3 linked regions of the Saccharomyces cerevisiae S288C genome follow. The protein of the gene in region 3 binds, or shares a complex with, the protein of the main gene of each other region. Each region holds a gene or a part of one and is shown on either strand. Other genes may lie near its edges. The genes, in order: POP6, POP3 and POP4.

Region 1 (3,139 bases), on a different chromosome or scaffold from region 3:
CGAAACAAAATTATTAAAAAACACGCATTAACACAGACACGAATTTGGCATACTTTCATTTTACTTTATATCTAGTGAAAAGTAGAAATTGTTTAAGGGAACTACTTCACAGTGACCACTGATACTAGAATATGGAAATAAGAAAAGTTGCTAAGTAGGAGCCTAACAATCTTTTTTTATATTTTTCCATATTCCTTTATTGTCATGGGTCAAGACTGTATATGTTAGTGAAAGTTTTAGGGTTCTTGTGACAAACTTCACCAACATAAACATGGCCTCTTCGAAGATCCGTAGATTTTGCATTTTTGCGGTGGTTTATGGATTCAAAGCGAGGCCTAAATTAACGATCATGTCTTTGCTATTATATCAGAGGGCATATCATTGAATTTCCGATTTCCAAAGGGAAGAAAATAAATAAAGTTGTGCTATTTCCATGCATCCTTTTTTCTTTCATTCAATGACACATACTTCTTGTAGTAGGAACAATTGGTAGTTCTGATATCGATTAAGCCTTCTAAAAATGCTTTATATTATAAAGTACAAATGCAAGAAGTAGCTATGGATGCTAAAGAGCTGGTCGATTTATTGTTTGGTGAATGAATGTAGGTTTAAATCAATGATCTCTGAATCAGAAACAAGGGTGACCAAAATTGGAACCTTGAGCCTTTCTTCCTGTAGTTCATTTCTGCCTTCTCTTTTTATATCGAACGATGTTAATTTATTCCACTGATAAATTTTCTTATTGTTCTTAATATAACCCTTTTTAAATATTTCCAAAATACTTAACATTTTTTGAATATGTGGACCGTAAGAGAATATACAAACTACTTGTTGTAGACCCAAACTTCTATCTGCCATGTTGATTTGTTTATCTAACTTATTTACAGACTTCTTAATGTTATCGTTCTTCGATATGCCATGATACTGTATTGATGTACTGTTGTTACCATTATTTGCTAAGGACGGTATAACTGTTTCTTTGAGAAACCGAAGACATTGAGTGGAGGAAGAGATATCCAAATCTCTACTAATTTCATTGTAATATACGCCATTGATCATTTTGATTTGCTTTTATCTTTTTTTCTTCTTCTTCTTTTCAATCTCTTCCAAACAATCTTGGCCTCATCTTCATGGAATTTTTCGAAATACTCATCAGCAAGTGTCCGATGCCTTCTCAATTTTTTCCAAGAGCGTGCGGGGGTTGGTTATCCAGTACATGTGTTGCTTGAAACTGCCAACAAAAAAGAAAAGAAAATAAGAATATATTAGTACGCCAATAGTAAACGTCACCCCGAGGTTTAAAAACTAACCGTGATATACGAGGAGAATTGGTAACGGTACAATGATGATACTGGGTAAAGCCGGGATCCTGGCACAGTATGGGACAATATATGTGAGACAAAATACCATTCGGAATAATTTAAGTTCCTGCATTTTTAAGCAGTCACTATGTGCCTTTCATTCATTAGCAAAGGTGCTGCAACAAAAGCAAGTCCCACTGGACCTTTCATATGACATAATCAAGAGAGATGCAGTAAAAACTGGGGATGAAGGGAAGCCAAGACCACCTATTATCATACTTCACGGCTTATTCGGTAACAAGCTCAACAACCGAAGCATTGGCCGTAACCTTAACAAGAAATTGGGAAGAGACGTGTATCTGCTGGACCTAAGAAATCATGGATCCTCACCACACAGTTCAGTCCATAACTACGAAGTCATGTCGGAAGACGTGAAACACTTTATCACAAAGCACGAATTAAACACCAATGGAGGCCCTATTATAATAGGACACTCAATGGGTGGTAAAGTTGCCATGATGCTGGTCCTGAAAAACCCGCAACTTTGTTCGATGTTAGTCTGTATAGAGAACGCTCCGGTGAGTTTGCGCCCTAACGCTGAGTTTGTCGAATACATCAAAGCGCTGATGGAAATCGTCAACGACAAGGGCAAAACTATCCGCACGCTGAAACAGGCTGATGAACACCTTGCAGAGAGGATCGGCGGCAATGAGCTAGTAAGGCGGTTTCTCCTAACGGCGCTGAAAAAGGTCAAGATGGACAATTCATCGTCTGTGTCGTCATATACATTCGAAGAACGAATTCCCCTCGCAACACTGAAAGATGCCATTGTCAAAGGTGAAATTGCCGCGTGGCCCCTAGATCCTGCTCGTGAACGATGGACGCGGCCTGCGCTATTCATCAGGGCTACTCAATCGCATTATGTGGTAGACGAGTATCTTCCGATCATCGGCGCGTTCTTTCCACGCTTTGAAACACGTGACATCGATGCGGGTCACTGGGTAAATGCGGAGAAGCCTGGGGAATGTGCCGAAAGCATCGTCGATTTTGTGGAGCGGCACGAGGATTAAAGGCAAGCGCCCCGGAGCAAGGTGCCAGTAGCACCAGTCGGTGGCTGTGCGCTTGCCGTAGCACATGACATACGGACTATTGTGTGAGTGGTGATGGGGTGTAGGCAGTGCCACACCAGTTTAAAGGCCTAGTAACGGCAAATCGCCAAAAGAGATGATGCTGATGCATACGATAAGATCGTCAGTTTCACGTTCGCGGTTCGAACATGGAATTGTGGCTAAAGAAATTTGGGCGGTATGATGCAAATGAGGTGTACGTATGTATATATAGCAAAGAGTAGAATAAAATGAGATAAAGCCTCGTTCGTTCTCTCCATTTCTTCCCTGTTTCTCCTTTATTTTCTCTACTGCTTATTTCGAGTTCACCAGAGAACAAGAGAGCAGGAACGCAAAGAGTGTGTGACACGAAATTCAAGATACAAAAATAAAAGCTTACGTTGTGTATTTCAACTGGTGTGCTAAGAATAGAGTTTCATAAAGTACTGCATTTATTCATATATTATTTTTGTTATTTGTATATATACTTCACACTTAGAGTTCTACTAAAAGTCTACCCAGCACGCATCCTTCGTTTATTTTTACATCTCTCTTTTGCTTTTCCTTTTTTTTTTTGGTGCTTGCTAGATACTACTGAAGATCAAAGGTTACAAAGAACGCCGCATATATTTTCTGCAGGCATATTAAAGAAGTTACAAAAGGATTAATCGAAGCGCTGTTTGGATACACTCCTGTAAAGAGAAGAAAAGGAAAAAAATAAAAAGTGGACAA
Region 2 (3,250 bases), on a different chromosome or scaffold from region 3:
GGTACTGCTTTGTCTCTTCCAAGTCCACATGCTGAGAAGATTGGCGACGTTTTTTCCATACGAAAAAGAATAACGCCAGAGCCAACAAGGCAACTGTACCACAAACCACACCTACTACGACACCTGCGATGGCGCCACCACTCAAGCCTTTGCTCTTGGACGAGCTCGATTTCCCGTTTAAGAGAGAACTAGTAGAGGAGGACGTAGACGATACTGTTGCATAAACAGAGGTCCTGGTGGTAAAGATCGTGCTTGCTTGTTGGTTAGCTTGAGAAACCACGGACTGCGTCACCACACGGGTAGTGTAATGCGTGGAAGTACCTATTGAAGTCGATGAGGGGGTAGAAGTGACCGTTGCTGTCGAAGTTGAGGATGAGGTCGATGTGGTGGATGAAGAAGTTGCCTGCGTAGAGGACGTTTCTGAACTGGAAGAGGCAGAAGTGCTAGAGGAAGTGGTGGAAGGAGAAGAAGAAGTAGAAGTAGTACTAGAGGTAGTAGAAGTAGTAGAAGTAGTAGACGTAGAAGAGGAAGAGGATGAAGAAGAGGAGGAAGTAGTTGTCTCTGAAGAGGAAGTGGTAGTGGAGGTTGTAGACGAGGAAGAGGATGAGTGCGTAGCAGAAGAACTAGTTGAAGTTTTCGTGTCCAATTTCGTGGACGTTTTTGAACTAACACTTGTGCTTGATGAAGATGTTGTCGATGTTGAGGTAGCAGTAGATGAAGTTGAGTCCGCGGTAGAAGCAGCGTTATTGATATAAACGTTCATGGCAGAAGAACCACCACAATTTTGGTAGGGCCAGCCAGCACACGAAACATCACATTTGCTCGAATCTACCTGCGTCAAAGACTGTAACTGAGCTACGGAACCACCACAGTAGCAACCTGTACCGTTGAAAAGAGCAACGACAGCCTGACCAGGGCATTCATTTTGACAGTAGGAAACTGATTGATACTCGTAAACACCCTTGTAAGTCAACCCCAATTTTCGTATATCACTAGCTGAATAGCAAGCTTTATATGTGAATTGGTCAGCCAACGCGGCTCGTATATATATGAGCCACACTAAGATGAAGGACTTGTGTATGAGATCTAGGTGCATATTCCACTTCTATAATGCTGTTGGTCAAAAAGAAATTCAAAGAAGAAACAATTAGAAACCAGAAAGTCTGTAAAAATACAAAAAAGCGTGTCCTATAACCGAACAGCAATGTTTGTTTTCACTAGATTTGTTTTCTTTTGGCGAAAAACGAAGGTAGAAATGAAAGTAAAAAAAGAGCAATAATGGTAAATCAAAGGCTAGCCACGCTTTGAGCTATAGTTGGTCGTGCTGAGCAATAGTAAAGAATTGAAAAAGCGAGTGGATGATTTGAAAACTGCTTATATGTTTTACGTTGAGGGTTTCTCCTCTTTATTTCTTCGAAGGACGGAGGACAGGTATAAAGCAGTCGCTGGAACTCTTTTCCCTGACAATCTTAAAAAGAAAGACCGAAACAGAGTGTTATAAAACGAAACAAAAAACCTGCTGTAAATGCACTTCTGGGAGAAGTGCTAGATCACAACATACAAACATATGCAAATTCATAGTAAAAGGAGATAGGGCCCAGATGACCAAATCAAGAATGGCTCACTGTTGAAACATTCTGCTTAATGTCGAAACAGTCCGTAAACAAACACATTCCCACAAAACACCGCACCGCGAAAAAAAAAAAAAACAGGAAAAAACGCGAAATGTCCGTAACTTTACCCGGTAATAGTCACGTGATAAAGGTGCATTGGTCTAGCTGGCTGTTCTGGCCAACGCGACAGCAGGGTTCATACTTTCAGTAGAACAAAAATCGGGGGAAATGCGATGCACTCTTTAACTGCAATTATGCACATCCTATTGCCAGGGCGGATATTTGATGTTGTTCTCAGATATGTATTCCCTGATCTATACCGTTCTCATAGTTCAATTTTCTCTGATTTTCTCGTGCGGGCAATAAGTAAAAAATAGCATTTGCGTGCTTAAGTGAAATTTTTCAGATTATGAGTGATATAGAGATGAGGACTGTAACAAGAAGGAAGGTGAGGAAATCAAGACGGTAAGTAGCATGTCCGGGTCGTTAAAATCTCTAGACAAGAAAATAGCTAAAAGAAGGCAGGTGTATAAGCCCGTGCTAGACAATCCGTTCACAAACGAAGCACATATGTGGCCGCGCGTGCATGATCAGCCATTGATTTGGCAGCTGCTGCAATCCTCTATCATAAATAAGTTGATTCACATTCAATCGAAGGAGAACTACCCTTGGGAGCTGTATACAGATTTCAATGAAATTGTGCAGTATTTGAGCGGCGCTCACGGAAACAGCGACCCAGTATGTCTATTTGTGTGCAATAAGGACCCTGATGTACCGCTTGTGCTCTTGCAGCAAATCCCGCTATTATGCTATATGGCGCCCATGACGGTTAAACTGGTGCAGTTGCCCAAGAGTGCCATGGATACCTTCAAGTCGGTTTCTAAATATGGAATGCTGCTGCTGCGGTGCGACGATAGGGTCGACAAGAAATTCGTATCGCAGATCCAGAAGAACGTTGATCTGCTTCAGTTTCCCTGGTTAAATGCTATCAAGTATCGGCCCACATCTGTCAAGCTGTTGAAAACTACAGTGCCAATTGTCTCGAAGAAGAGGCAAAAGTAGACAAAATTACCCGCGCAGGCCTATTTTTCTAGAAGACAGAAGAAAAAAGTGGGCAGAGAAAGCGAGGAAAAAAAGAAATACATATGAAGAAGAAAAAAGCTGAAATTTAAGCAAATACTTTTTGGACAAAATCATCAAACTACTACTAAAGTTTGAAACGATCGGAAAGTTACAACACATTTACGATAAAATATGGTTGTCTTGAATCCAAATAACTGGCATTGGGTGGATAAAAACACCTTACCTTGGTCTAAGGACTACTTGAACGGTAAATTAACGAGTTTGTCCACTGTTTCCTCTGATGGGAAGAGCAAAATTGAGTTAACCCAGGTGAGTAGCATCACCGGTGACTCCAACGTATCTCAAAGGAAGGGCAAGCCGATTTGCTACTTTGACTTACAGTTGTCGATGAACGTCAAAGTGACAAATTTGGATACTAATAAGGACGACGAGGATGATGACGGCATACTTGCGGACGGGAAACTAGAAATTCCAGAGTTTATGCATGACGAGTCTGATATTCCGATTTTGTCGCAAGGGTTTGATGCTTTTGATGGATTGGTTAGGTCTGAATT
Region 3 (3,502 bases):
GCAGCGCTGAGGCAATACTGAAGAGAGCACCTTGGGCAGCTCCTATACATGATGCAACAGTAATCTACGAATGAGAAAGAAGGTTAATTAGACTTGTGTTAGCGATTTATTCTGGGGTGAACAAGACAGGGCCAGATATATTCTTGAATTTTACATACTTCTTTAGTTAATTGTTTAACAGTTTTGGGGTCATAATGAATGGGGAGAACGTTACCACCCATAGTAGCAGCAGTTTTTGTGTCGTTGGTATTTAGGGACGGTTGGTTACAGTGGCAATAATTGGAAAGTTCTTTCACAACAACACAAAAAAGGTGGAGAGAATAATTTGTACGGAAAAAGTTATACCTTTGCATGTCACGTGAACCAACAGAACATGGTAATACATAATGAAGAGAAGTTGCCTAAGTACCTTAGCTACAGTACCAAGTTCTAATCTCATCATTATCACACATTTACAAGACTATTTTTGCAGCAGATGGAGAGATCACTTCAAAAATGCGTTTATGAAACCTATTTATGACGAATTTTTTATTTATTTATTTAGGTAGTTTCTAACCTTCTCCTCGATAATGTTTGAGATCATAGTATTCAAAGTACTATCTTTCTTTGATATTTGGTTTTCCAACGTTAATAGAATTTGCTTCTCAATAATCTTCCCAGTCAAATCTACTTCAATATTAACCTCGTCGCCAATTTTCTTCAAAGGCATGATAACATTGTCTTGGGTGTGCTTTATCATACTAATATAGAAGGCTCCACCTTGCGAAAGTGGGTCAACCTTGATTATGGTCAAGGAAGTTCCATCTATACAAATGAATCCCTTTTCTACTATGTATTTAAAGTACTCTTGATCTCTTAACTGAAACCCAAAAATAATTGAATTCCCCTCAGGTCTTCTTGAGACAATATTAGCAACAGTGTCTACGTGACCCTGTACATAATGACCACCGAACCTAACGTCTTGAGATACCGCTCTCTCCAAGTTGACCTGGGTGCCTTGAATCCAGGAAGCGACATTACTTCGTTTTATAGTTTCTGGTGATATCCCAACTTTGAAGGAGTCGTTATTAAACTCGGTCACAGTAAGGCATACCCCATTTACGGCTATTGAATCTCCAACGTGACAATCGGTGAGAATACTCCCCGCATTGCCAATAGTAATAGAAACTCCTTGACCTCCACTTTCAGAGTCATCATATGGGTTGTTTTCCAAAACAGTCCCCATGCATTCTACAATACCAGTAAACATTGTGCTATGGTTACGATCTCACCAATTGGTTTGACATGTACGTTAGGAAGTACCGTCTTTTTATATCATTTGGATGGATCTGGAATATGACTAATAGATAGTTCAATAACCTTCCTCCATGGAAATTACCGAAAAAAAAGAAAAGGACGGAATTGGTACCCGGAGAGTACTTGGGCGGCTACTTTAGTTTTATATAAACCAATATCGAAGACAGTGATCTTTTTACAGCGAGCTTGAACACAAAATAACTACCGGGGGTAATCGTTCCCACAGAGGCAACATTAATGAATCCTGGGTTAACATTAATACCTACGCGACAAAAATCAATAAAAGAGATTGCTAGCCATAAATGAAAAAAGAGGAAAAAACATGCAGATTGTTTTTGAGCTTTTATGTCATAACAGGTGTATTTATAGCAGTATGAATAGTTTTACTAGCCAATATTCATTTTTTTTGAATCGATGTAAAATTTTTGGATACAAGAAAAATTGCACAATGTTAAATTTCTACAGAAAGCTCATGCAAAGGATGGAAAACTGAGCATTACTGGCAGCTTTGTGGGGTAGTTAAAGAAGTTTATTCTCCGTGGTTGCAGCTGTGGTGGTCTTTTTACTGCCTTTATATCCCAATTCATCCGCTTTTTACCCGGTCCGTTGATTTGAGAAAAAAAATGGTACTCAAAATAGTATGGCAAATATACTCGATGACATGAATAAGCGGAGAGCAATAATCTGTAAAGACTAAAGAAAATAAGCACGATTTGGACTCCCCTATTTGTCAGAATGGATAGAACTCAAACGTTTATTAAAGACTGTCTTTTCACGAAATGCCTGGAGGACCCTGAAAAGCCCTTTAATGAAAATAGATTTCAAGATACGTTGTTGCTACTGCCAACTGATGGCGGATTGACTTCAAGGCTTCAGAGACAGCAAAGAAAATCAAAGCTAAATCTTGACAATTTACAAAAGGTCTCCCAGTTAGAGAGTGCAGACAAACAGTTGGAAAAAAGAGATTACCAAAGAATCAACAAGAACTCTAAAATCGCATTAAGAGAGTACATCAATAATTGTAAAAAAAATACAAAAAAATGTCTGAAATTGGCATACGAAAATAAAATTACTGATAAGGAAGACCTTTTACACTACATAGAGGAGAAGCATCCAACGATATACGAATCATTACCGCAGTACGTTGATTTTGTACCGATGTATAAGGAACTATGGATTAACTATATTAAAGAACTTTTGAACATTACAAAAAACTTAAAAACATTCAATGGATCATTAGCATTATTAAAACTATCTATGGCAGACTATAATGGTGCGCTGTTACGCGTTACAAAGAGCAAAAATAAGACTTTAATAGGCCTTCAAGGCATTGTGATCTGGGACTCTCAGAAATTTTTTATCATGATTGTCAAGGGCAATATAATAGACGAAATAAAATGCATTCCAAAAAAGGGCACAGTATTTCAATTTGAAATCCCAATATCAGATGACGACGATTCGGCATTGAGATATAGTATACTAGGCGATAGGTTCAAGTACAGAAGTGTGGATCGTGCAGGCAGGAAGTTCAAAAGTCGTCGTTGTGATGATATGCTATATTATATACAGAATTAGTAAGAGTTATTACGTACTTCCATTTGCTTCCTCTTCATAAGAGTTCAGTGTTTCCTGAAGTTGTCCCTTTATCATTTCCAATAGTTTGGGATCCTGTAACTTAGACCGTACATAGACATCCAAGTCAAATTTCTTCTCACCATCACCATTATCCCCCTCCATTTTACTACCCAGCTTTAGGTAGTTGTCCTTGACCAATTGTGATTCAATCAATGCACTGGTTAGCCCTCTGTTTTTAAATATTAATTCTTCATCTTCGTTAACCATTTCTTTAACAGTACTGGCAACTCTTTTCCGAAGCGCTTGTTCAAAAGATTCACTATTCTCTTCTGTATTATTCCATGGGTTAGACAATATTTCTCTTTTCAACTTGTCAAAATGTCCCTCCTTCTTATACTTGTCTGATAGTCTTTTACTATCTTCTTGATTATACGCCATTTTTTGGATTTGAAATAAGCTCTACTCTCTTATACTGTGTTTCAGCTTCGCTAAATAAAGAACTGATTTTCTTACGTATTATTTCTCTAGTATCTCTCGTTTTCAAGATATAGAAAAATAAGACAAAAAAAAAGGCCATCATATTTATACAACGAAAAGTGTTTAATATGGAAGCAGCAAGCGGTATATGAAC

What was found.
Region 1: POP4 (region 3) and POP6 share a complex: the UniProt entries of both Saccharomyces cerevisiae proteins name them as parts of the nuclear RNase P and RNase MRP complex.
Region 2: POP4 (region 3) and POP3 share a complex: the UniProt entries of both Saccharomyces cerevisiae proteins name them as parts of the nuclear RNase P and RNase MRP complex.

The regions. Positions count from the first base shown.
Region 1 is NC_001139.9:545,099-548,237, forward strand, and holds POP6 (ribonuclease P/MRP protein subunit POP6), read right to left. Parts: upstream 1,060-3,139; coding exon 583-1,059; downstream 1-582. Other genes in the region: IMO32 (Imo32p), read left to right, coding at 1,343-2,371; NAG1 (Nag1p), read right to left, coding at 1,711-2,202. UniProt on the Saccharomyces cerevisiae protein: Component of ribonuclease P, a protein complex that generates mature tRNA molecules by cleaving their 5'-ends. Also a component of RNase MRP, which cleaves pre-rRNA sequences.
Region 2 is NC_001146.8:105,600-108,849, forward strand, and holds POP3 (Pop3p), read left to right. Parts: upstream 1-2,087; coding exon 2,088-2,675; downstream 2,676-3,250. Other genes in the region: WSC2 (Wsc2p), read right to left, coding at 1-1,096; HCH1 (Hch1p), read left to right, coding at 2,868-3,250. UniProt on the Saccharomyces cerevisiae protein: Required for processing of 5.8S rRNA (short form) at site A3 and for 5'- and 3'-processing of pre-tRNA.
Region 3 is NC_001134.8:726,854-730,355, forward strand, and holds POP4 (RNase P/RNase MRP complex subunit), read left to right. Parts: upstream 1-2,031; coding exon 2,032-2,871; downstream 2,872-3,502. Other genes in the region: RCF3 (Rcf3p), read right to left, coding at 1-64, 159-221; RIB5 (riboflavin synthase), read right to left, coding at 533-1,249; SHG1 (Shg1p), read right to left, coding at 2,881-3,309. UniProt on the Saccharomyces cerevisiae protein: Required for 5.8S rRNA and tRNA processing; associated with RNase MRP and RNase P.